7 linked regions of the Nothobranchius furzeri genome follow. The protein of the gene in region 7 interacts with the protein of the main gene of each other region in a biochemical or structural test. Links are inferred from orthologs where the notes say so. Each region holds a gene or a part of one and is shown on either strand. Other genes may lie near its edges.

The links.
Region 1: of the proteins of cdk1 (region 7) and hmga1a, one has a biochemical effect on the other in vitro, tested with the Homo sapiens proteins (3 studies listed by BioGRID and IntAct). The link is inferred for Nothobranchius furzeri from reciprocal best matches to the Homo sapiens genes CDK1 and HMGA1.
Region 2: of the proteins of cdk1 (region 7) and wee1, one has a biochemical effect on the other in vitro, tested with the Homo sapiens proteins (5 studies listed by BioGRID, with this or other methods). The link is inferred for Nothobranchius furzeri from reciprocal best matches to the Homo sapiens genes CDK1 and WEE1.
Region 3: of the proteins of cdk1 (region 7) and cdca5, one has a biochemical effect on the other in vitro, tested with the Homo sapiens proteins (2 studies listed by BioGRID). The link is inferred for Nothobranchius furzeri from reciprocal best matches to the Homo sapiens genes CDK1 and CDCA5.
Region 4: of the proteins of cdk1 (region 7) and foxm1, one has a biochemical effect on the other in vitro, tested with the Homo sapiens proteins (2 studies listed by BioGRID). The link is inferred for Nothobranchius furzeri from reciprocal best matches to the Homo sapiens genes CDK1 and FOXM1.
Region 5: of the proteins of cdk1 (region 7) and rb1, one has a biochemical effect on the other in vitro, tested with the Homo sapiens proteins (8 studies listed by BioGRID). The link is inferred for Nothobranchius furzeri from reciprocal best matches to the Homo sapiens genes CDK1 and RB1.
Region 6: of the proteins of cdk1 (region 7) and ptpn1, one has a biochemical effect on the other in vitro, tested with the Homo sapiens proteins (2 studies listed by BioGRID). The link is inferred for Nothobranchius furzeri from reciprocal best matches to the Homo sapiens genes CDK1 and PTPN1.

What each region holds. Positions count from the first base shown.
Region 1 is NC_091755.1:54,122,556-54,126,727, reverse strand, and holds the start of hmga1a (high mobility group AT-hook 1a), read right to left. Parts: upstream 2,801-4,172; 5' UTR 2,592-2,800; intron 2,510-2,591; exon of another isoform or gene 2,355-2,509; intron 1,714-2,354; 5' UTR 1,699-1,713; coding exon 1,600-1,698; intron 862-1,599; coding exon 781-861; intron 1-780. UniProt on the Homo sapiens protein: HMG-I/Y bind preferentially to the minor groove of A+T rich regions in double-stranded DNA. It is suggested that these proteins could function in nucleosome phasing and in the 3'-end processing of mRNA transcripts.
Region 2 is NC_091744.1:46,647,475-46,651,558, forward strand, and holds the start of wee1 (wee1-like protein kinase), read left to right. Parts: upstream 1-1,284; 5' UTR 1,285-2,089; coding exon 2,090-2,611; intron 2,612-3,023; coding exon 3,024-3,238; intron 3,239-3,605; coding exon 3,606-3,672; intron 3,673-4,084. Other genes in the region: znf143b (zinc finger protein 143), read left to right, coding at 804-887. UniProt on the Homo sapiens protein: Acts as a negative regulator of entry into mitosis (G2 to M transition) by protecting the nucleus from cytoplasmically activated cyclin B1-complexed CDK1 before the onset of mitosis by mediating phosphorylation of CDK1 on 'Tyr-15'.
Region 3 is NC_091759.1:26,797,174-26,800,324, forward strand, and holds cdca5 (sororin), read right to left. Parts: upstream 1,696-3,151; coding exon 943-1,695; 3' UTR 501-942; downstream 1-500. UniProt on the Homo sapiens protein: Regulator of sister chromatid cohesion in mitosis stabilizing cohesin complex association with chromatin. May antagonize the action of WAPL which stimulates cohesin dissociation from chromatin.
Region 4 is NC_091741.1:41,398,879-41,402,279, forward strand, and holds the end of foxm1 (forkhead box protein M1), read right to left. Parts: intron 1,881-3,401; coding exon 1,841-1,880; intron 1,713-1,840; coding exon 1,540-1,712; intron 1,464-1,539; coding exon 651-1,463; 3' UTR 501-650; downstream 1-500. UniProt on the Homo sapiens protein: Transcription factor regulating the expression of cell cycle genes essential for DNA replication and mitosis. Plays a role in the control of cell proliferation. Also plays a role in DNA break repair, participating in the DNA damage checkpoint response.
Region 5 is NC_091750.1:48,268,348-48,271,847, forward strand, and holds part of rb1 (retinoblastoma-associated protein), read right to left. Parts: exon of another isoform or gene 3,474-3,500; intron 2,339-3,473; coding exon 2,223-2,338; intron 1,993-2,222; coding exon 1,826-1,992; intron 1,547-1,825; coding exon 1,401-1,546; intron 1,314-1,400; coding exon 1,209-1,313; intron 1,137-1,208; coding exon 1,023-1,136; intron 948-1,022; coding exon 799-947; intron 706-798; coding exon 675-705; intron 584-674; coding exon 444-583; intron 301-443; coding exon 254-300; intron 181-253; coding exon 110-180; 3' UTR 1-109. UniProt on the Homo sapiens protein: Tumor suppressor that is a key regulator of the G1/S transition of the cell cycle. The hypophosphorylated form binds transcription regulators of the E2F family, preventing transcription of E2F-responsive genes.
Region 6 is NC_091755.1:52,048,892-52,053,047, reverse strand, and holds the start of ptpn1 (tyrosine-protein phosphatase non-receptor type 1), read right to left. Parts: upstream 2,801-4,156; 5' UTR 2,585-2,800; coding exon 2,528-2,584; intron 2,013-2,527; coding exon 1,922-2,012; intron 1,381-1,921; coding exon 1,280-1,380; intron 791-1,279; coding exon 692-790; intron 594-691; coding exon 456-593; intron 1-455. UniProt on the Homo sapiens protein: Tyrosine-protein phosphatase which acts as a regulator of endoplasmic reticulum unfolded protein response. Mediates dephosphorylation of EIF2AK3/PERK; inactivating the protein kinase activity of EIF2AK3/PERK.
Region 7 is NC_091752.1:60,143,044-60,146,493, reverse strand, and holds the end of cdk1 (cyclin-dependent kinase 1), read right to left. Parts: intron 765-3,450; coding exon 648-764; 3' UTR 501-647; downstream 1-500. UniProt on the Homo sapiens protein: Plays a key role in the control of the eukaryotic cell cycle by modulating the centrosome cycle as well as mitotic onset; promotes G2-M transition via association with multiple interphase cyclins.

The sequences.
Region 1 (4,172 bases), on a different chromosome or scaffold from region 7:
TAAAAAGGTCAATATAGCTTTAAGAGGGTCTTGCTGTTTAGAGATGATTTTCATTCTCAGCGACGTGCTGGGGATCTGTCGTCCATTTGCAGATTAGCCTGTAGATGGCAGCCGTACTTCTGCAACAAGACCGATCGAAAGGGGGCACTGGGTTCATTGGCTATTATCTGGACGGCCGACAGGAACTGCACACGGGGCACTCCAGTTCGCTGGCCACCTGGTCCGAGGCTCAGAGACAGCTGGTGAAATCGAGTGGAGACAAACCCTACAGCTTGGCCCGCACTTCTAAACCTATACCGGTGCTTCCTAAACTCCCTTATTCACTCCATCTCCCATACGTAACAGCAAATGGCGCGCACACACAGGGGAGCTAAAGGGTTGGGGAGAGGGAGAAAAAGCAGTTGTTGCTATGGAGACGACAGGCAGAGAGAAGAAGTAGGGCTGTGTGCTGGTTGGGGGCGGAGGGGTGCTTAGTGTCAGCCTGGAAACAGTCTTGCGGCCTCTGCACCTGCACCACACAGTGCATGACAAGCTGCAGGAAGCTGGAGGACAGGAAGTACAGGGTAAATATCAGGCCCCCCCTTCCACCCCCAAATAAAGCAGTTAACCAAGATTTATTGGTATTGATAATCACTTTGCCGCCCCCAATAGGGAGTCATGGCCGGGCTATTTGTGGCACCTTGAACTGCAGCCAATAAACATATATCAACAGCAGAGGATGAGGTTAGCTGTTGCAAACTACGGGAATATAAGTTTCAAACAAGACGAGCAATGACTTACCTTGCCCTTGCCAGCAGTCTTGTTTTTGCTGCCCTTTGGTCGCCCTCTGGGCCTCTTTGGAGTTGGTGACCCACTTGGCTCCTGGATATCAAACAGGTTATAGTTAATATCAAGAATGTTTTAATAGATGCCCAAAAAGGCTCAATTTTAGTGCACATCAAAACAATTGAAATCAAAACAAAAACTGACTGAGCAATCTGGCTGAACCGTAAACATCAGAGGGGACTGCCATAACATCTGAAAGTTCAGCAAATTCATGCACAACTCGTGGTTTAAACCGGCGTCATGGCCCACTCGTCTTCTGTTGCTCGTCTGATGTGTTGATCATCACAGCTCTTAGCAACCCAGCAACTCAATAGTAATACACAGCAGGCCAAGTGACATCTATGTGATCCACTCTGGGCCACAACTCTCCTATGTAATGCAGAAGAGGATGAGGGGGAGGTTAAAACCAGTTTAAAGGTGTTAGGTTACTGGTTGCTTACAAACTGGTGAGACATGCTGGGAATTTGCTGTACACCTCAGCAGTGGAAAAGCAGGGGGCAAATGGCCACAAGGCCATGCTCCTGCAGTCTGGGCTATTTTATTCTGGTCTCAAGACTCTGATATGCACAAACCTGCATGTGCGTCTAACTGAGCCTCAGCGATCACAAGAGGACCTGAGGCTCAGCACCACACCGGCCTGGTTCTGCATGCATTTAAGATCAAGTTTATTCCCATGGCATGCAAAAATAAAAATAAAAAATAATAATAATAATAATAAAACGACGGGGTGGTAGAAAATCAGCTAGTATACCAGAATAAATAGACACTACTTACGTCAGAGGTTTTCACCTCGAGCGATTTGCGGGGTCTTCCACGCCCTCTCTTCTCTGCCGCCTCCTTCTCTTTCGGTGAGACTGTCCCCTTGTCGCTCATATTTGCTCTTCCAACCTGAATGGATGATGATGATAATGATGATTTAAATAAACCCTACCGGCCGGCCTTGATGCTGCAAGAGGCGTCGAGTTCACACAGAAAACTGAGCACAGCGTGTACCCGTGAGCCACTAAACCCACTGACCGCAACAACAAACCAAAGATGACCGACCGCACCACGCACGGTTTAACCCAATTAATCCGCGCTGGTTTCCAGGTCTATTTCCGTCTCGTCTGCGCTCTGCGACACAAGAGGTTTACGCAGAAAACCGATCACAGCAGGCTTAACCTGCAAAAGACCACAAAACCAGCCAATTCCCTCCGGTACCGACCGCGCTTATAGGCCCCGCAGGAGCCCAAAGACCAGGCCTGCGCACGGAACCATCTCAGAGCAGCGTGTCTGCACGCCTGGGCCGCGGAGAGATCCACCGACACTCACACACCACAATGGCCGCGGCTCGTTTCTGGTTGCAGGCAACAAGCTTTGAGCTGAATGGCTTTTTAAAAATTAAGTGGCGGAGGGGAGAGCAGCAACCGAGGTCTCCGTGTAGCGGAGCGAGCCCGGACCGAAGCAACAAAAGACGGCTGACAACGTGCCGCCGTTTCCCGCCGGAGCTCCGGGCTGTTTGTAAAACCGGTGGTCGCATCCCCACTCACCTTTGTCACGGTGCTATCGCCTCCGTGCTAAACTCAGGTAGACTTGTTTCCGTTTGAAGCCCGGCTGGTGCGTACCCGGTTAAAAAGCTGATCTATAGGCTACAGCTTTTATTCGTCAGACAGCCCGCCCATTTAAAAAGCCCAGCTCACGCGCCTTAAAAACACACACAAACCCATTTAAATAAGCGAAAAGCTGAACTTTCTGCATTTTTGTACATGAAACATATTTATTTTTACCAGCACGGTGAGAAGTTTAATCCAAAGGTTTCCCTCGGTAGAGCACGTGCGTCTCGCGCAGATAAAGGAATGAAAGGCGCCGGAGTCGGACAGGAGGAGTTTTTGGACAATTTAAAGAACCGCCCTCAGGAGAGCGGGAACACTGGAGGGCGGGGATATGATAACGAGGGCCACCAACAGAACCAGAACAGCCCAACCTCCACTCAGCACCGCCGGTGTTCCGACTATCCGTGCCCCCCGTCGAAATATTATACTTTGGGGAAATGCGCAGCGCCTGCGCAGGCCGATTATTGCGTCACAGGGTGTTTACAAGTCGAGACGCGCTACCTGTGGAAGTTTACGTTTAATCTCGTCACTTATCTAGTTACTTTCAACTCGTCGAAGGTCACAGTACGTATTTCTTTAAGTTGTTATATAAAATTATTGCTTACTGTATGTTTACCGGACAGCTTGTGAATGGCTTCTAAAATATCGTTATTATAATGTAAACAAGACATTTCTCCCATTGTTTACATTCATTCTGAAAGAGTCCCAAATTAATATCCAAAAGTTTTATATTATACATATAATAAATTTATCATAGTTGTATAATAATCTCCAAAATTATACATTCAAACAAATAACTAAGTATTGGGGGGAAAGCAAAGTGAGTTAATTTGTCTAATAAAGGATTATAGAATGATAAGAGCTAACGTCTTACAAATCTCCATTTTTATGAATCACTTTCTTGACATGGGTGAAAGTAGTTGGTAAATCGTCATTGTTTTAGCATCTAAGGGGTTTTACGAAATGACTAAATTGCTTACAATCCACTTTTTTCATAAAATAAAATTAACCTACATTGTGTCATAGCCTCCACTGTCATGGCGCTTGAACTATGATGACGTCCCCCAATGTAAACAATCCCTTTGCTCATGTTTAAATAACGAGACTAAAAAGTAATTTAATTTATACATATTATTTAAATATATTAATAATATTATTTTGTACAAAACCCAAACGGAAACAATGCATGTGGAGCTAATTTTAATCTAATTTTCTTTTATTTGTTGTGCATTAAAGAAAAAACAATTATGTTTCATTTAAAATTCAAATGACATTTTTGAGCAGCTATTTCAGAATTATATTTGAATCTTAATTATATTGAGGAGTTTTTTTTCTTTATGTTGATTTTCCTTTCTTTTTTTTAATTATGCTAATCTTTAAAACATATTTGTGTATTCATTTTGTATGAAACCCTAAGAGAAACAGTAAATGTGGAGCTAATTTTAATCTACTAGCCGAAGTTTAGTTTGAATGAAATTAAATCGTAAACTCCCTATGAAGCATCGCTGATTTTCTCAAAGAATTTTACTGTTCTGTTAACATCGGTGCTCATCTACATGTGCAGACATGGTCCCTAAATTATTCTTGTATTAGGCAACAATTAATATGAAAAGTTTAACATAGATTTTTATTAAACATTTTATGAGTCATTTGAAATAAAAATTGTACTTTTTTGCTGCTATTTCAGAATTATATTTGAATCTTAACTATAATTAGCAAGGTTTTTCTTCATTATGGTTTTCTTTCTTCTTTTTT
Region 2 (4,084 bases), on a different chromosome or scaffold from region 7:
CTAGTTGTGGCGGCAGTTGGCCACACAGGTGCCTGATTTTTAAATTAAAAAAAACTTTATCGGCTTTTTAAAATAATTTTGGCCGACATAGAAAAAACTGAATATATCAGCCGGCCTCTAATTCAGATCTGAGAAAGCCACCAGCATGCCTCCAAAATACTAATATCCATTTTATGGTTGGAGTTTTGAGATGTAGTAAAGCAGGCCTGTCGGACGTGGGTGGGGGGCATGATTAGCTCTAGTGGTGTGACGTTCATGAACGAATCGAATCTTTTGAACGGGTTTTCAAAGTGAACGATGAGAGCAGATTCCCTCTAGAGAGCTGTTCATCTTGTCTTCCGGTAACAAACCTCCCCAGAAGTCAGTAAAGCGCAGCCGCTCAAACACCACCCACCACTGTCACGGACGTAGGAGGAGCACTAAACAACCCCGTGCACCCTCACGGACACCGCCGCAACACGTTGCTCTCTTTGCTTCGCTTCTTTCAAAGGAGCCAGTCTTTTGAACGGCTCTTTGAGGTAAACGACCGACTAATGAACGACTCCCACGAAAGAGCCATAAATCCCTAATCACACTAATTAGATCAAAGTCTGATAATCGGCCTTTTTTATTGTGAACTTATTTATTGTATTTGTAAATTACAAAACAGTCTTCCCTATCCTGAAATACAACCGTCTGTAACATCATCAGTTTAAAGATGGGTTTAGAGTAAACAAATGCAACAAAAGACCCTGATAGAGTAATACACACCAGTCTGTGTTAAATATTGTTGTAATGCTGCTTTCTGTCTTTTCTTCCTGTAGCTGACTGATCAGCCGTCGCTGGAGGAAGCCATTAGGATAGCATCAAGGATACAGCAGGGAGAGTCACCAGGCCTGGATGATTGATGAACTCCTTATGGACAAAAAAAAGACTGTTTAACTTTATAAGTGGGAGAAATTATGAGTCTTCCTTCTATTTGTTTTCACAGATGAAAGTTGCTCTCATGTGTACATAGGATTTTAATAATCTGAATTATGTTGTGTATTTTTCCCCTCATAAAAACATTTGGGGGATGCCTTCAAATGTTAAAAGTGTACAGTAAATGCTATTTGTAAACAAATCTGTGACTCTTAACTTTCCATCACTATTGCTCCACTCTGCAGGTGAAGAGGCTAGAGATCCATACCAAATGGTTCATTTAGAATATTCCTAACAAATAAACAACTTGCTGCATCAACAAAAAAGGGTACAATGGAAGACAACTGTTAAGAGATGGTGCTTACAGTGTTATAAATAACCAGATGATTCAGTTTGGGATTTTTTTTTCCCACTACAAACCACACCACCCAGTCTGCTGTATAACTTCACCTTTGGCAGTGAGAATATTTCTTCTAAAAAGGAACGATAAGTTTGACTCGTTTGAAATTCGCGGCAATATAAACGTAATTTTGATTAACGTAATTGGGTTTCAAGTTGCTTCACAACAGAGGCTTGTTTGATCGTGCCGCCTGATGACTTCGCGTTTTGTCTTGGCAATGTGAGCGTCGTGAAAAGGCACACGTTCGCGCCATATTGTTTTGCTGATATCTATGACGTAATCCACCAGAAATCGCTCTGGAACGCCCAGCTTTCAAAATTCAGAGGCAAGCTCTGATTGGCTGCGGTGTGACACGTGACCAACGGTCGCGGGAAGTTCTTCGCCACGCGCGTCACGGGAAGAACTCGTTGCTTGACTCATTCAAAACTTTTTGTAAACATAAGTAAGGTTTAATCGAGGAAAGACGTCGGTGAGTCACCGGGACGTCGGTGGACCGGACAGCCGCACTGGAGTTAACGGACTGAGTACTTTTATTCGTTTTTACTTTAATACTTTGGACGTTACATGGAATACGGCTCGTGAGAGGCCATTTCTTAGCGTTTCTCCCCGTGTTGTTGGGAGTTAGCAAGAAGAAAGTTAACGCTGGAGATTAAAAAACGTCTTAACCGATACCTTTACGTGAAGGTAAATAGAAGCAGACTACTTTTCTGTGGTGGGTATCCCCGGTATTTTTTTTTTTTTTTTTTTTTTAATTTTTTGGTCGATAATCTCGGGGTTTAAATCTTGAAAATGTCGAGTTACAGTCGCCATCGACACGGAACCCCCTCCCCTAAGTCTCGACCCATCCGTCAGAAGTTAAAGTTCACTTCCAGCGATGGAGAGGACGACCCTATCGAGGATGTGAACAACAGCACCGGCGGAGAGTCCGGCTTCACGGAGATGGATTCCCCCACGCCATTGCGACGGGACACTGTCGGGAAGCGGCTGGAGGGCAGCTGCAGCCCCCTGAATCAGTCCGGTGGGGACGACGACGTGGAGCTGTGGGACGAGGAGAGTCTCGGTTCCCCGTCTCTAATCTGTTCACCGAGCAGTGTTATTTTTAAAAACTGTTCACCGAGCAGTGTTATTTTTAAAAACTGTTCACCGTCATCCAAGAAAGTGTCCCGGTTGTTCGGAGGGTCGCCTGAAGCTGGAAGGAGCTTCCAGGACGACGGAGAAGGATCCAGCTCTCCGATCCCGGACTGCCCGGACACACCTCCGCACAAAACCTTCAGGAAACTCCGGCTCTTTGACACGCCGCACACCCCGAAGGTCAGGATCTGTGTAGACAACAACATCTTCATGTGTCTCCGTAGAAACATGAGTTTACTAAACATTAAGAATTTTTTTTATTTATTTTCATTTTTTGCAAGTTTGATCTATTCATTCACAGCTAGCTTTAAAAGCTGCCCTGTTAGGGGCGCACGTTTTAATATAAAACATCCGTTTGTTGTAAAACTTCCAAAAGCCCATTCACTGCGCTAGAGTCTGGTATCAGCCCGGTGACCCATTAATGTACCTGTTGCATAAGCCTGTTGGTCAGAGTCCATGCAGCTTTATGTCCAGACATGTCTGCATTAGACAAGACACCAAAACTTTACTCTTTATTTGAAATCAAGTCAACGTGAGTTCAAGCAGATGTTTTGTTTTGTGCGTTTAGTAACGACTGGTCCTGTTTTTGCAGAGTTTGCTTTCCAGAGCCAGAGGTTCTGCACCAGGATCCTCCAGCAGAAGAGTTGCTCTTTTTAAAAATGTTGAGTCTCCAAGAAAGCCAGCCTCGGACAGTGGCAGGAGACCGCACATCCCGCTGGTCAACTTTAACCCCTTCACCCCCGATTCCCTCATCATCCAGTCAGCCACACAGGAGAGGAACAACAGGAAGAGAGCACACTGGAACGAGTATGTTGCTCAGGGGTTCTCAGATTCTAGATTATCTTGTCAGTACTTGTTATGTATGAAGATACTGTTCTGTAGGACCAGATCAGCTGAAATATCTATTTTATGTATTAGTTGTTCCTGAGGTGCTGCCAGAGATCATCACACGTTGCAGAGCAGGGTCGAGCAGCTGCACCTGTTCTTTGTAAAACACAATGAGGCCTTTGTTGAGGCAGACCAGTGATGTTAAGGCCGTTTGTTGATTAGGACTAGGGGGTGTTGGCTGGAAGTCAAGACCTCATGGTTACTGATGAACTCAGACATGTGCTTGTGAAGGCACTGTGCTGCCCCCTGCTGGATAGAATGCTAACCAAATATCCCCTTGTTTCAGCTCCTGTGGAGAAGACATGGAGGCAAGTGACGGTGAAGGCAAGGATGAAGTCCTCCCACCATCGAAGGTAAATGAAACTTTTACCCCTTCATAGATTTCTTCATTTTGACCCTTTACTGTGGAAACAAAACCCCTAACCCCAAACAAATGGCGTGAAGTAGACTGGAAGATCTCAAAAAAAACATGCCATCATGACCTGTGCTAAAGACGTGTGGTTGTTACCAATATTCTTTGGAAACATCCATGAAAATGTTGTTGAAAATGTATTAAATGATGCCCAGTAGTTGAAAATAGTGGCTGTTTTGTATCTGATAAAAATTGGGTCTGAAATACACAGGAGTGGGTCTAAGGCCCAATCTCAATACTCTCACTTGCACCCTTGATATTACCTACAATCCGTAGCAGCAGGAGAAAAGACTCAAATGCCTTTTTTGAAAATATGTATTTTCTAATGAAAGTTGTCAATTTTAGGACGATTA
Region 3 (3,151 bases), on a different chromosome or scaffold from region 7:
AATTCATTCATTCATAGTAAAGCGCTGGATTAAGTCCTCTGAACGGACCAGGTGTTCACTGAGAGACACAATGATGTGAATTACAGTAAATGTGTTATCTACATTCACCCTTTCATCAGTACCAGGGTTGTTTATATTTAAATTAATGCTGTCAGGTAAAGTGCTGATGTCATGGAGTGTGTGACCAATCGTGTGTTCTGGTCTGAAGTTTGGTTTTAAACACAGTAAATGTGTGATCATGGTCAATGTTGTTGTTTGTGTTTAACACTAACCCAGACTAACTGTAGCCCAGATTAACTATAACCCAGGTTAACTGTAGCCCAGACTAACTATAACCCAGGTTAACTGTAGCCCAGACTAACTATAACCCAGGTTAACTGTAGCCCAGACTAACTATAACCCAGGTTAACTGTAGCCCAGATTAACTATAACCCAGGTTAACTGTAGCCCAGATTAACTCTAATCTGAAGTGACGTGTGAACAGGTCAACAGGCAGGGTGCTTGCTTCAGTGTGGGTTTATTAGGAAGCAGAAAGGAAAACTGACAGGAAAACCTGGAAAAGTCCAACAAAAAACTCCACAAAGCCAGAAAAGCAGCTTTAACCTGAAGTCAGTTCAACTCTGTCAGCAGAGACGTTCTGGTTCTGGTTCGGTTCTACTGGGCTCGTGTTGTTTCTCTGGTTTATTCAGTAAAGAATACTGCATCAGAACCGGTCTGGGATCTGATCAGAACCGCTTAACCAGAACAAAGTCCGTTTTGATTTATCCAGAACTCTCAAGCTACAGAGCCGACACAGGAAGTCCAAATGGACCGAACCATGATGGTGTAGAGAAAAAAACCTTCACGAGCTACATATACAATCCATCAAGAGTCCCGGACGTATTTACACCCCCACCACCCCTCCAGTCAAAGATCCATACGCTGGTTCTGGTGGGTTCGGTTCTACTCCACCACCAACTCGAACTCCTCGGCCTCCCGGAACTCCGCGTTCATCTGAGCGGCCAGATGGTCCAGCTCGGCCGAGTCAATCTGCGGCACCTTCCGCCTCCTCCTCCGCTCCTTTGACACCGACACTCCGGGGATGTTCGGGTCCGGTTCAGCAAAGCCCTCGTCGGTCGATTCAGTGAAAGACGTGATGGGTCCAGAAACTTCCAGAGCGTCCCTGGTCTGCTTGGACTTCCGGACAACCTCCGGGGTCCTCAGCCTCTCGAAGCCGAATAACGTTTCTCTGGAGTCGGGGCTACTGTGGAGGGAACTGTCGCTGAGCCTGCTATAGGACCGGCGGGCTTTCTGCGCACACACGCCGGCCTCTGGTTCAGCAGCCGGCTGCTGGGTCCGACAGGAGTCCGGTGGGGAGGACGGGAGGATCCGTGAGGGCATGGGCGCCTGCTGCTTCTTCCTCGCGGCGGAGGAGGAGGCCCTGCGGTCCGGGCCGGGATCGGGGGTTGAGACTTTGGTCTTCAGCTGCTGTACCTGCTCGGAGTGCCTCGGCGTGTTCTCCTTGTTGTGTTTAGACGAAGCGCTCGTTTTTCTGGGCGCTATTTTCCGCACGGTGATGGAGCGTTTAATTCCCAGCGCCATCTTCTCACCTCCCAGCGGAGCTTGCGGAGAACTGAACCGCGGCGAGCGTCTTCGCTGCGGCCCGAGAGGACCGTTAGCTCCCGCCATCGCCCCATGAGGCGAGCCTTCGTCCATGCTGAAATCTGCCCACTAACAGCGAATTATTCACTCGGTTTCGATTGAATCTCCTCCGGTTGCTCAAACAACGGCGCCACTTTCGAAATTACCCGCTCGAGTCGCACGGTGATGACGACAACATCATCGTGACTCTAACAAGCCGCGCCAGTGGAAGAGCAAAGTTTTTGCTGTGTAATCCGGACGCTTGACGCTCATACTTGACTGCTGTCTCACCTGATTTTCACCGTTATTCCGTGTTGGTTCGGTTGGAGACGATGGAATATTTAATCGGTATACAGGGACCGGATTTCGTTCTCGTCGCAGCCGATAATGTGGCCGCCAGCAGCATCATTCAGATGAAACACGGTGTGTTAGCTACCTAGCTTAGCATTAGCTCTTCTCTCATTTGATTCTGTTTCTGTTTGTCAGACGCGTGTCTGCGTATAAGTCTTTATATTTTAGGATTTGCTGTTTCATTCTAACGCATTAATGACCATTTGTCACATTTTATTTGCCAAAGGAGATTAAAAAGTAAGACAATAAAGCCATTACCGGCCAATGAGAGGTACGATGAGCCTTTTAGAAATCAAACTTAGCTTCTGAGTTTAGTTCTGAGCTTTAGGATGTTTATATGCTTTATTCTAGCCTGCTAAATCTCGTGGTGAGCGACCCCGGCGGTGAAAGTGAAAGTCCGGTTGTGTTCAACAGAAACCAAATCAAACTGGTTCTGATCTAAAACAGTGCACATGTGTTACTGATCGTTGTTTAAAGTTAGATGTAAATGAATCTGATCTGAAGGGATGCTTCAGTCCAACCTCCTGGTTCTTTTTCAAAGTGATGTTTTCTCATCACTCGCCTGAATCCGGACCTGGTTTCTGTTTTTGGGGCGACTGGTGCTGACATCTGGCTTTTTTCAGAGGATGACTTTCACACTGAGTTTTGTTCTTTGGTGTCTCAGATTATGACAAAATGTTCAAGCTGAGTGAAAAGATCCTGCTGCTGTGTGTCGGAGAGGCCGGAGACACGGTGCAGTTCGCGGAGTACATCCAGAAGAACGTTCAGCTGTACAAGATGAGAAATGGTATGATGTGGTTGTGGCGCTCTTCCTTAGTTTCACCGTTTGTCACCAACAATTACTGATGCTTGTTTCCTGGTTTTAGGTTATGAACTCAGTCCAACAGCAGCAGCAAACTTCACACGGAAGAACCTTGCAGATTATCTCCGGAGCAGGGTTGGTATTCTGCACCACCGCTTTAAACAACTGTAATTATAATAATCTGTAAAAGTACGATTTTTACCGCTGGGGTGAAAATCCCGGTTTTTCTTGACTCCAGCGATGAGTCGGCTAAACCGCTGGCTGTTGAACCAGGTTTCTGTCCATGTTTTAGAAACGGCATGTTGCCCAGCGCTGCGCTAGTAGGAGGAAGCTGAAAACTTTGTGTGACATGTTTTCAGCAGTAAATCCTGTTGGATT
Region 4 (3,401 bases), on a different chromosome or scaffold from region 7:
ATCAGATCTGGAAGATGGCAAAAACATTCCAGTCAGTGAGAATTAAAACAACAACGTACATTTCTAAAGTAAACAGAGACAATCCTATTGCTGTTAGTGCTAATAATAGTAATACTTTCTTACTCCTACAGTCTAATGCGGTTCCAAACGCTGTTTGAACCACGAGGCACAGAAAGATCTTTCTAAAATATTCAGAAACTCTTTCCCACTTGCAGATGGAAGTGCTGTAAATCATATATTAGAATGTGCAAATCAACTTATTTATACACTTAAATATTCATCTTCTTTCAACGACAGTTGTGGATTAAAATGTTCGGACGTTAATAATCCAATAAGTGATTTAAATGAGCAAAACAAACAAACCCAAACTAGCAGAGAAACAGCCAAGCACGAGTGAGCAAGCCTCGCTGTCGTTTATCTCAAACTTCACCAGAAACGGCAGCAAAAATCAGCTCAAGCAAAGCAAAAAGGAGCTCGTTTTGTTCCAGAGAGACGACGGCTCTCTTCTTGTAACATATATTCATAAAGATGCGTTAATATTTAAAAATCAACCTGCGGTTTGTCAATAAAGTTTCATTAAAGCAATAAAGAGTGTGTGTGTGTGGTTTGTAGTGTTTTCTCCAAATTCTGCAGTTTATCTTTCCAGTGATCTAAACCTGCCCGATGAACTCGGACCAGCTGATATTAGCGATGCCCAGTTCCTCGTCCAGACCCGTGAAGCTGATGTCCACCAGAATCTTGCTCAGGCTGTCGTTCATGAGGTCCAGCACGAGGCCCTCCGTGAGCGAGCGGTTAGTGGGCGTGGCGCTGCCGGCTTGCAGGAGCTCCCTGGAGCAGCTGCTTTGCGGGTGTCCGATCGGCGACTCCGTTGATCTGGTGACTCTGCAGGGAGCCGTGGTGAGCAACTCCCGGGGGGAGCTGAACAGAGCCAGGTCTTTAAAGGGAGTGCTGTTCAGACTGAAGGTGGTGTATTCGTGCCGGGGCGTGGCTACAGGACCGCTTGGAGTGCGAATAGGACTGAAGTCCAGAATGTTTTGGCTCCCTTTGCCCACAGGGGTCACGAGCCATGGCTCGAGTCCAGCAGAAGAGCGTTTGCTGGGGGTGGAAGAGGTCAGGTGGGTGATGCTCTTTATCGGAGTCTTGAAGGAGAACCCCCGGTCAGGACTGTCTTGTCTGTGCCGCTGCTCATTCGGCCCGACATCCAGAACGTCCTGGAACGTCGACACATCAGAAGCTACACCAGAGTCGAAGAAGTCACTATCAGGACAGAGGAGAACAGGCTCCTCGTGCAGCGAGTTAGCCAGGCTCTGTTTGCGTCGAGAGCTGCTGGCTTGTCTCTTCGGAGGACGAATGGGAGTCTCACATCTTATTGGAACATCAACTGGCTCCTCCTTTATCTCCAGCTTCAGGTTAGTGATCTTGGGAGGAGATTCAGCCACAACCGAGATGCTGCTTTGTGTCACCTTTTCATGGAAAATAATATGTTAGATTCCTTTGGCATCGAAAATTACAACAAGTTGTGCCTAAAAAGCGGTTTACCTTAGGAGCTATGCGGACTCTCTTTGCCCCTCGAGAAAAGGTCTGCTTCTGCTTGGGGCAAGCGTAGCTAAAGGAGGCAGACGGGGTTGACAGATACAACGGAGAGGCCACAGGGAGCTGGATCGGAACCAAGTAGGATTCGGTTCGAGGGAGAAGCGGTTTCATCCTTCTCTCTGAGCACAAGGAGACACGGAACATGAACCAGCAGCACAAGTAGGGCTCTGAGGATGAGTCTGAGTCATTTCTGGAAACTAGAAGTGGATTTGGGAACTCTGAGGCTCCAGCCTAGTCCTTAACTCACCAGAAGAGGCTGGTATTTTTCTGCCAACAGCAGCCGTTCTCTTTTGTTGACATGGAAAGGAAAACGAAAAGATGCACCATCACTTTAAAATAGTCAAATGAATACAACTTTATTAACAATGCTGACAAAGACGGTACCCTTTCCAACTGACTCCTTTTATGGATAAAAAAAATAGCTGTATTTGTGAGTGGGTATAAACCAGCGTTAGACAAGGGAAAGCCTCTTCAGCCTCTCTGGTTCTCAGATCACCTCCTGCAATAAGATGACCTCACAGCTCCAGGTTCACCTGCATTTTCTTACCTCAAATAAATACATGAAAACTAGGGCCCGACCGATATATCGGCCGATATTGGAGTCATTAACCGTATCGGTTATTGGCCAAAAAGATGACCGATATTGCGCTACCTATCCAGCAGATTGCACCAGCTTTATGAACTCATGTTGTGTGGCTCCTAGCGATGGGTACCGAATTCTGTACTTTTTAAGGTACCGACCGAATTCCATAGTACAGACTGAGCACAGATTCACGTCATGTGAAACGGTGCCTCGTTTCGGTACCCGTCCTTCATAACGAGAACTTGCCTAGACAGCTGCGCATGCGCAAGAGCGCTATGTCGGTCGCTGCGAGCGAGTTGTAAACAGAGCAGCATGGTAGAAAGAACGTACGCTAAAGCTTGGCTCCACTTCACTAAATGTGATGGGTAACTGGGTGATGATGAAACCAGCGACAACGATCTAAGTGAGACATCCTCATCTTAATCTGCTCCGGTAGGTAAACAAAATGTTTAAGACAACGTTAGCTTGATATGTTAGCTTCCGTTTCGCTAATGGTGCGTTCGCTTTCTCCTCGGAACTCCGAATTTCTGACTAGAATGCGCTCTAAAGTTTGGCTTCACTTTACTAAATGTGACGGGTGATTGGGTGAAGATGAAACCAGCGACAACGATCTAAGTGAGACATCCTCATCTTAATCTGCTCCGGTAGGTAAATAAAATGTTTAAGATAACGTTTGCTTGATTTGTTAGCTTCCGTTCTGCTAATGGTGTGTCCGCTTTCTCCTCGGAACTCCGAATTTCCGACTAGAAGAACATGAACGCGCTCTAAAGTTTGGCTTCACTTTACTAAATGCGACGGGTGATTGGGTGAAGATGAAACCAGCGACAGCGATCTAAGTGTGAGGCATCATCGTTTTAATCTGCTCCAGCAGCTAAATAAACTGTTTAAGATAACGTTAGCTTGATATGTTAGCTTCCGTTGCCACCATTGTTATCAGCTAACGGTGCGTTCGCTTACTCCTCGGAAATTCTAACTTCCAAGTAGGAAAAATCAAATGAAAAAGGACGGCAAAAGGAATGAAGATACACAGTAAATTTAGTTCACAGTAAAGATGTTTGCTTCAGTTTAATTATCAGCTTATAAAACTACAAGGACGATGTTAAAATACAAACAGTTGTATGTTATTTATTGTGATATTTATCAAATATGGTTATATATTGAGAAAAATATATATTTAATTATAAAAAAGAATTAAAATATTAAACACTCAAAAGTATCTAAAATT
Region 5 (3,500 bases), on a different chromosome or scaffold from region 7:
CCTCATTTAGTAAAAACACAAAAAGAGGAACATGCCCTCTGACATCAGAGTAAAATTAAATACAAACTTAAACAGTAGTGAACAACGTGGCCATCGGCGCATGTTGGTTTTAAAGTGACTCCTTCCTGGATTCGGCGTCTTCCTTCAGCTTCTGCTCCTGCATGCGACTCCGAGTGGAGCCTGCACACAACAATCCCACTGGATCAATACCAACCCTTTTCAACGGCAACAACAGGAATATAAACACACTCACTCATCTCTGTCAGCTTCTGTATCAGAGTTGAGTCTTCTCCAGGTTTGCTGTAAATTGCAGTAAAGACACTTTAAATCCTCCTAACTCGTCAGTCAGCTGTTTAATATACCACAGTTACTTTTCTTTATGTCCAAAATAAAAGCAAACATGTTTGAGGCGCAGTTACTAAATCATGGCTGTGATAACCGACCTGCCGTCAGTTTCGTCTTGCCCGTCGATGTCGAAGCGGAGCCTCTTCAGAGGTTTTGGAGTAGATCCCAGATCCAGGGTCCTCTTGTGGGAGCGATCGCTGCTGACCATCTGGTTGATCTTCTGGAAGCGATTGGACAGCTGCAGATGAGGACATAACAGGATTAATGAATAAGTCAAGTGTGAGAGAGGAAAAAAGGAGTTGCAGCATTCTGTGAGGGTGACCATCTACCCCAAACGATTCCCCGATTGATACCAGCATTCTGCAAAGGGCACGAACAACACCATAAGATGTTTTAAAATACTTCAAACATTTGAAATGAATAAAATTCAAATCACAAAAATGAAGCACCGACCTGGAGCGAGGTGTAATAATACCCGGGGACACGCGAGAGCTCTTCATGGGAGAAATGTAAACGTTGTTGCTCCCAGGAACACGCAGAGGCGAGTTGGGGAACTTATAGGGACTGCGTGGTATTTGTGGGATTGGAGAGAGGGGGGGCGGCTGGAAAAAAATATCGGTATTAAAGCAGTAAGCTTTACTGGTCATAAATGGATCCAAGCTTCCCTGTGGACTTACCCTGGTAGATGCATACTGCAGGATGTTGGTTTTTAGCTTCTGCATGAACACCTGGTTGTAAAAGACGATGATGGAGTCGTACTGGCCTTCAGTGATCAAGACGTGTTTAAATGTCTGCAGAGCACAGCAGGTTTAATAAGTGGTGAATTAACAGGAAGTTCACTTCTACGGATGAAGCTGCACCACCTCTTGGTTGGTGTTGGGCAGGTTCTTGTACGCCGACACGATGGACTTGAAGCGCAGATCGACACTCTTCACTTTGCATATGGCATACATGGCTGACATCATCAACTGCAAAAGGACAAGCAGGTGATTTAATAGTAAAAAGAAACAAGAGGTGGAGACGGGAGGATTAAAGTCATGCTGGTGTTGAAGCACCTGGTCCAGGTGATGGTCTCTCATCAGCTCGTACTCATGCTGCAGAGTGTGCTGGAACAAGGTCCAGATGATGGGCTCCAGTTCAGGGTGAGAGGACAACAAGTAGGAGCAGAGCGTCTTTAGTCTGGTGTACGCCAGGCAGTACACTACAGAGGAAGGGGCAGAGAAAACACGTGTAAACTACAGCGTTAACATTCAACCTCATTTCTTTGAGTTCAGAGAGGAAGGCTGTTAAACGAGCAGTTGGGTTCATGCAAACGAAGGAGAAAAATAACATTTCTGCAAAAAATGATTTGAGTTTGTGAAATTCTAAAAATATTTTTATAGCAAATCAACTCTTGTTTTACTGCTCATCTCAACAAATATTTCTTACTAAATACAAGACAACCCCTGAGCCCTCAGATCAGTAACTAAAATTTACTTACATTTTTTATAGAAGAGGCTTAGGGAGTTGGACTTGGAATGTCGTGGAACTTGACCAGGAGCTTGAGAGGCGGGGTTGGAGGAAGCCACGGGGGCAGACTTGCACACGGGCTTCACGGGGGACTCAGGAGGCGAAACCCACTGGCCGGCTCGCATCGGTGACAGATATCTGCTCATGCGTCAGTGCAACCAGTGGAACATGTTAGATAACCTTTCAACACTGATAAGTGACATTTCCATCCCAGGAAAAACCCAAACACTGATGCGCAGCAGGAAACTGCGAGTGAGTCATGGAGTTCGGTGAGGCACAACGGTTTCACAAATTTAACCCAAAAAAAAAAAGGGTTTTAGGGTCTGAGATGAGATCTTATTTCCCCGACTGGTTGTAAAGTAACTTACAGGTCTGCAGCGGTGTGGTTGTGCTGCAGCGGCTGGCTGAAACTGCCGGGAGTCTCCACCTGCTCCTCTGCTCCACTCCCACGTTCCTGTTTCAGGAGCTCAAACAGCGGGGATCCCTGACAACACAAACACACGCACAGATTTACTTTAATCCTACGATTTATTAAAACTGTGAGGAATAAAAACACACCGGAGAGGTTTTCACATCGTCACTTAAACCAAACCACAAAACACACAAAACCTGTACAAATGTGTGCATTGTTTCATCATCATTACATCTGAGCTCAGTCTTCATATCTATTTTTCTTTAATCCGCAGCCTACACAAGCAGCCTGATGATCTGATCGCCAACCCCAACCCAAGTGTGAAAAGGAAGTGGTTATACGTGAACTTTACACAAAATTTCCCTCGCAAAAATAGTCCATATTACACGTCTCTGGTCTGACAACACAACTGTTCCTCACTGAATATTGCCACAAGGACACGCCAAGTATGTGACACAGATACAGGAACATCCAGCGTCAAGCTTGATTAGATCTGAAAACCTGCTAAACTGAATCTGATGGAGCTGGAACATCCTGACGGTTTAGGGAGCGTGTGACAATAAACAAGCACACAACTCAGATCAACACCTCTGGGGAGGGGGATCCTGGAGGCTTATTACCCTATGATAAAAAAGTGACTTCACAATACACATGTGACTGTGTTCAGACATGTTTGGAACATTCTTTGTGTCATACTCGCATGCTGCACCCCGCTGACGTCACCGATGTTTCGAAAACAAAATCTGTGGCTCTAGTGGGTAGCGTGACATACTAGGTTTGGTAACTCATTATCTTAAGAGTTTTGTCAACAGCTGATTTGTGTTTCTAGTGCAGCTGCATTTACTTGTCAACAGCTGATTTGTGTTTCTAGTGCAGCTGCATTTGCTTGTCAACAGCTGATTTGTGTTTCTAGTGCAGCTGCATTTGCTTGTCAACAGAAATATTTAAATTTAATTTTTATTTTAAACAAATCATCTGAAGGAGGACTTTGACCCCTGTGCAGACTCCTCCCTGAGCCACAGAGTTCTCTGAGCCTCACACGTGCAGCAGTGGGACGTCTGAGTTACAGTAAAGGAGGAGCAGAGAGCTACAATGAGCTCACAGGGGACGCTGCGGGAACATACGAGAGAACGAGGGAGGAGGAACCACCTGACAGATCACAGAACTGAGAAAAAGAGCTCGGCTCTTCCACCCGAGGGACAGATATCATGTCTTCTGTAAAGGAATACTGATA
Region 6 (4,156 bases), on a different chromosome or scaffold from region 7:
TCAGCTCAGATCAGCATTAAAGCAAAAACTAGGGAAAAAAACTTCCTTTTATAGGTTAGCATCAAATCCCCTCAGCAGCTAGAAAAGCCCAACTAAACACAGATTTTCAGAAAGGTCCAGTGCTGTCAACAAATCAGTTCATGCTCCACAAACTTCAGCAGCAAAATTATAGATCAAAACCAGGAAGTGATGAGACGTAGGACCAGCTCCTGACATTCCTGCCAAACTGAAAATACGAGTTACAACTATTTAGCTCTGTAAAAATTGTGGATGTAATAGTTAAATTCTTCTTTAGCTTTTATCCTTCCTAATTTGCTCTAAAGCACAAGACACCGTGTATATTTTCTCTGTCTTCATGACTAAATCACGAGTGGCAGAAGGTGTTCAGGACCCACGGGCTCTCAGCGTCAAATAACCTCTTATCTCAGGCAGACAGCTCAACAGAGAGGACTTACCAACAGGTTTTCCAGCTCCAGCTGTCGGACTGTGTAGTAAGATTTGATGTCCTCCGAGACGAGAGTCACCTTGAAGTTGGTGTCTTCAAAGATGGCGTCCTTCTCCTCTCTTTGCGGCCAGTATTGAGCACATTTAATCTAAAACCAAACAAAGGTCATGTGAAAACAAAAGAGTAGCGTGACTCCTGAGTAATGGACACATTAAAAGGTCTCGGTAAGGACAGACGACTGCTTACAGATCCTTTCTCTATGACCCGGTTTAGCATCACCACACCGTGGGTCCTCTGCTCCCAGACCATCTCCCAGAAATGGCCACACGTACTCGGCAGGGGTCCCTAAACAGGGAATAAACCACTCCTTTAAAGACATCACACTTTCTTCTTCGCATCACTAGATAACAATATTAGCACGGGATGAATAAATAACAGATCCAGCCACGTTCTAATCTCCAGGTTTTTACCAGCGTACTGTGATACAGACATACAGAACCACGGCTCCAGCTGGACCCGAGCCACTGCCTCTGATTTTGTGACACGTGCAGTTGTGACAGTTTAGTCCACATCCAGCATTTTAACTACAAGCAGTGATGGCCCATTTCCACCATTTTCAAATAGAAAGCCTGATATATACTCCTCTTAATATTCTTGCTTTTCTATTTGCTGTTTTTCCCTCACTGATCAATCCCATGGATATGCTCTCACTGTGGTATTCTTCCATTTTCCAAATCATTTGTTGACATCATAACTCCAAGACGTGTTACATACAGTAGATGTGTGTCTGTATGTAAAATCATACAGAGGACAGTGAATCTTCAGGATGCTTACCTGAGTAAGAATATAATTTCTCTGAGCCTCTTCAACAGTTATCAGGCTGGCATTGATGTAGTCGTTGGAACCCAGCTGCAGGTGTATTCTGCTGTGGTCAACTGAGGAGCGGGGACAAAAGACAGATAAAAATGTCTTGTTGTTGTTTAGAAGGGGAGGAACAGCCCTACCATCGCAACACTGATGAGAAAAGAGTCATTGAGCAAACTAACAACAGAGGTAACCACCTATCCTTCATATGAGATGTAAATGTGGGCAAAAGTTTCAGGTTCCTCATTTTCACATCTTGTTAGATGTGAATAATAAAAACTAAGTATTTGCAACCCAAGCTGCACAATTTGCATAGCTTATTCAGTGTGAAAAAGAGGAAACCAGCAAAGCTCAGCTGCTGGACTGTGATGGATTTAGTTCTGTGGATAGTAACTATTTTTACATTTTCTAACTTGTATAATTACTGTTGTTTTCTTATTTAAAATTTAGAAATTAGTTTCAAAGAGACAATCCTAACAATTTACAATCTGTCACCTTTGAATTATTATATGGGTATGATAGGAAATACACAATCTACCTGAATTTAAGAATGGTTATAATAACCGAGAGAAAACAACAAACGAGTCTGCTGATGATCAAAGTGTAACTCACATGGGCTGACATCCCTGTAACGGTTTCGAGTCTTGTTTTCAGGCAGTTTGGCATCATTGCATGCGCACTCGCTGGACTGCTGGCGAATCTCCTGAGACAAAATAAAATTTACCAAATAAATTTTAGCAGATTTAGGTTTCACACACTGTGAAAGTGGATCTGAGTGCATGTAGGCCTTACTTCCTAAATTTAATTCTTTAGAAAAACAGAAGAAAAAAAGAGTCTAGACATCACACTATTAACACTGTTAATGCAGGTAAACATGTACACACACTTAAAATTATCATAATAAAGTAGTTACTCATGAGTAGTGATTAAACAGCATTTTAAAACGTGATTAACGTTTTAATGGACACTTGATAAAGGTTTATTAAAGTCAGAACAGATCCGGGCCACTCCTGGGTCCTAGCGAGTGTTGCAGGTATTATACCCGGACAGACACATCAGAACAAGGCTGTACACACCCAGAAAAGTCCCGGTGACTAATAAAAACATTGATTATTATTAATACCTTATATATCTGCTGACTCGTTGTGAGCAGGCCTAAAATGACAGCTTCACCTACGGTTCGTGTCTCCACCTTGATGATCAGCCGATAGTTCCTACCTGGTAAATGGCGCTCCACCTCTCGTTCTCATCGATTTCCAAGAACTCGGCTTCCATTGCTTCCAGTTCAGCTGCCACTCTTTCTTTACGCCCAGCCCAAAACGAAGAACCACAGCTTCCCGGTAATTAAAGAATTAGTAGTGAATCGGTTTCCGGTAGTAGCTGCCCAATCTTCGGCCGCTGTTAGCTCGCATTCAGTGCGGCTGCTTAGATCGCCATCTCGGCCTACTCTTAACGGAAACACGCCGCTAGCTCCTCCTACACGGTGTAGCTGTCGTCCTTGGGTGGCTAAAAAGAGCACAATGTGTTTTGTTTTGTTTTAATTTGCTGCTGTGAGATATCTGTGTAGGATTCACAGCACTTCTTCAAGTCTGGAAAGTAAGTCTGTTGACACAGAATCGTCATCTCACCATTTCTGAAACAGCAGCGACCAACAGGCGAGGACGCGCGGGAGGCATCATATTTCTGGGAAAAAAACGCGTCTCGCTCTTTGGGGAGCGCGCACGCACACTCACGCACTGTGTACGTCATCGCCCCGGCTGCCGGTGAATTTGGCAAGCTGTTTTAACATTTAATATAATTACATTTAAAAAGTAATTTGAACGTCAGTGTAAATATTTCTGTCAAAATGACAATCTGAATTATAAAATCAAAACCAATGATAACCAAAACTGTCACAATATTAAAATTGTGTCTCAAGTTTTCCATAACTGAGACTTTGTCAGGGAAAACAAACTTTTGAAGCAAATTATGTCAGCTTTCCATTAATTTATATTAGGTTATCCCCTTCAGATGTGGCAAACATATCTGTCCATGTCTTTGTCTAGTTCATATTTCCACTGCACAAGTGAGTTGACATTTGAGTTCATCTTTTTAAATGGCACTTTGGTCACAAATAGCATTTTACTTCTACACTGTGCATAGAAATGAGTAACATGTCATAACATTTGACATTGTTTTATTAAATTGTTCTGCATTTCTACTGCATTACTGTTCTTTTTAACACAGCAAGTGTTATTTTACCTTGTTTTTGCATCAGGTAACAACATCGAGTAACAACATCAGGTAATAACATCAAGTAACAACATCAAGTAACTACACCATATAACAACATCCGGTAACAACATCGGGTAACAACATCAGGTAACAACATTAAGTAACAACATCAAATAATAACATCATGTAACAACATCTGGTAACAACATAATGTAACATCATCATGTAACAACATCTGGTAACAACATCAGGTAACATCATCATGTAACAATATCAAGTAACAACATCAGGTAACAACATAATGTAACATCATCATGTAACAACATCAAGTAACAACATCAGGTAACAACATAATGTAACATCATCAGGTAACAACATCAAATAACATCACGTAACATCATGTAACATCATCAGGTACCAGCATCAGGTAACATCAGGTGACATTAAGTAACAACATTATACAACATCTTGTAACAACATCAGGTAACAACATTATGTACTATCATCATGCAATAACATCAGGTACCAACATCAAGTAACATCATGTAACAAAATCAAGTAACAACATCATGTCTGAACATCAGGTAACAACGTCATGTAACAACATATAGTCATGTAACAACATATACTACA
Region 7 (3,450 bases):
AGATGTAGGTCCACCGTAGGTCGTATGTCCCCTTCTGCAGATAGTGTATATAACTCCTGGTACTAGCATTAGTATTTGAAATAACATCAATACAATACTCAGTAAGAGTTCATTACTTGTGTAATTCTGGATGTACATTAGTTTGCCTCTAATGCTGCATACTTCTGGAAAACCAAGTTTTTATTTATTTATTGTTTTTAGTGGTTTGAGTTAACTGTATTCGTATTTTACTTAGTCTTCAAGTGTGTGTGCTGCTGCAGCAAGTGAATTTCCCCACAGAGGAATTAATGAAGTCCATGGTATTCCAACATTAGGTCTATTGGCATGTGAAGAGAAATCTCTCATTACACCAGTAGATTTCATAGATAGGCACAGAAACACCGTTTTAGCTTGTTTTTAACCCAGTAGGCTGTAAAACTGCAACATGACTGATACTCAGACTGCATTAACTACATAATGAAACTGGTGAAAGGTTATTGTCCACTAATGGAGCCAATATGTCAGTTTAAAAGCAAATCATGCTAATTTTAGGTTTATTGAAAGCCATTACACTTTTTATGGTCTGCACACACACAAACAGAGAAGTATTTACAGATGAATATTCCCAGAGGAAATGAATGCGTTGAAGTGGAATGAGTAAATGGGTCCTAGATGTTATTGCTGGTAGCAGCTGGCAGGGTGGATTTGTCCAGGTCATCAAAGTAGGGGTGTTTCATGGCCTCACGTGCAGAGATTCTCTTTGGAGGATTGTAAACCAGCATTTTCTATTTAAAAAAAAAAAAAGAAGAAGAAAAAGCAAATGTCAGCTTTAAAACTATTTCAGTCCCATTTACAGATCCATCCATCCATTTTCAGCCACTTATCCAGAGTTGGGTCACGGGGTAAGCAGCCTAAGCAGAGAGGCCTAGACTTTCCTCTTCCCCGCGACTTGAGCCAGTTCCTCTGGGGGAACCCCAAGGAAATCCCTGGCCACCCGAGAAACAGTCCCTCTCGCGGACGTGTCAGACTGAAGGCCCATGGGCCGGATGTGGCCCATGAGATCTTCAAGTTCAAAGTGTACACCAACGATAAACTACATTTCCCACAGTGCATGGCGATTGTGTTACCAGTGCAGCTACAGTATTTCACCACTGGGTCGCAGCATTTCCACATCTGTGTTTAATGGAACAAGTGAAAATAACCATCCACAGATTATCCCACAACGTCCAGGAAGAGAAAGACTGATGAAGGGAAGGTGTTTCAACAAAGATGGGAAGGTGAATACATGTTTATGCTTCAGGAAAACAAAGCAGTAAGTCTTTACAGTCATTAGCGTCCATGCTACTAGTATCGGCATCAGCAGCATCACCTCCCCAGTCTTGGACAGAGTTTACTTTTAGTTTTAAATGTACGTGCAACCTCCAAACAAGAAGTAGCCAATAAACTCTCAAAATCAATGGTCAGACTATCAATATTTAAAACAGTTAGCTCAATTAGTCATAAGCAGTAGACAGAAGACAACTGTAGACCTAGACATCACAGTTTCAGGAGAAGAACATTGAATTGTCCAACAGTACAAATACCTACACATCCAGGTAGACTCACACTCAAACTTCATGCCTCATGTGAGGGAAAGCTGTAAACAATAAATACACCTTAGCCAGTGAATTTGTGAATATCAGAACAGCCACACAGAAAGGAGCGTCCAGAGGAGACCATACCATCCCTCTAAAGCCTGATTCATGCTTCTCCGTCTGCGTCAGTGCGGAGACACGCAACGTCCTTGCGTGCCTGCCGGAGAGCTCCGCAAGGACGGATGGAGTCGAGCTCTTTTCTAAACATCCATCACTCGAGACAGACAACGCAAGCTTGTGATTGGTCAGGACGCCGCTGTTGTCTACAGTGCCGCCACTGCGCCCTCAAAAACACAAAGAGAGCCGAGGATAACAAGCAGCAGACACGGAGAAGCTTGAAGAATACCTCGCGAAAAAACTCTAAAAACATGAACGTTTAATTCCCCCGTGGCTGGAGGAGTGAAAAGATGCGCAGCAAGCATTTTATTTGTGGACGGAAATGACAGGAAACGTGGGTTTAGAGGTGGTGAGCGCATGAAGAGGTGGAGGAGGATGAGAGACAAATATGTCCGTGTTAAAAGTCTCTTATATACAAAAAACATAATATAAACAACACTATCTTGGACCGATGCATGACAGGATACCACAGAACAGCGCTACGCCCTCTGTTGTCCAGCCGGGGAATTGCTTTGCAACACTCTCCATGAGACGGAGAAGTATGAGAGCAAAACGCTTCCGTCAATCCATGCGCGTCTGTCTCTTGCGGAGCTGACGGAGAAGCATGAACCAGGCTTAAGGAAAAGTACATTAGGTCAGTCATCCTTCTGTGTGCGGGCAGCTCAGGAATAGAACATCCCAACCTCAATTATAGTAGTTTTCAAATAGGCCATACAGGCCAGTGTAAAATCAGCCTTACTGTGAAAAGAGCGGTTTATCCCTCCCACTTGGCCAGGACATGAATATGCTAATGAGCTGCTTGCTGATTGGTTGGTTTAAACCAGAAGGCCTCAGACACTGGAGACTGGAGGAGGAAGAGCTCCACGTTGTGAAGTTTTTATGAGAGATTTCTCAGAAAAGAAGTTTTTCTTTGGCATTTTTAAACTTTCTAATTTACATAAAAAGTAGGTCACACACAGCTTTGACTTTTTGGCGTGCTACTTTTGATCACCCAGGCTGTCTTTATTCACAAACAACAAGAAAATGTTGGTTTAGATTCTTTGTCCCCTTTAATAGTCTACGCGTTATTTAATTTATAAACATTTTTTAATCTCACCTGCATTAGAATAAAATGTATTTTATGATCAAATAAAAAGGTTGCTGACTGAGCAATCAAGAAACTAATCTTGCTAAAGCATAATACATTTTCATCTTAACCTACTTTATTTGATATAACTAGGAATGTACACAGATAGCCGGTTAATGTTGTAACCGGTTAACTGCTTTCAGTCCTTCTGCTGTGATGAGGTGTAATATAATTTGTGCCACTAGAGGGCACACTAGCGCTGATATCAAAATATGTTTACTGGGCAAGCAGAAGAAATGAGCTCATCACATGACTGTGCTCAAAAATGAAGGGGGCAAGTGTTTGTGGGCGTAGGGTTTTGGTTGGTTTCTGCTTAACCGGACCTCAATAACCATTAAAGAAATGTTGGGAAACGTGCGTTCCTAAATATAACATAATTATTAATCTGGTATCTTTACGGTAAAGCAGACCCTCTGAGCTGTCGCTTGTCCCTGACTGCTGACATGTGGACCAGCCGTGCTACAGAGGCGTACCTTAGTGTGTCCCGCTATTTCCTGAGTTAAGATTGGAAGATGAAGTTCTTCAACCTTGCCGCCATGCCTCTTGTGAACACAAGTCATTTTGTGTACAAGTCATGTTTGGTTTTAGGAGCCT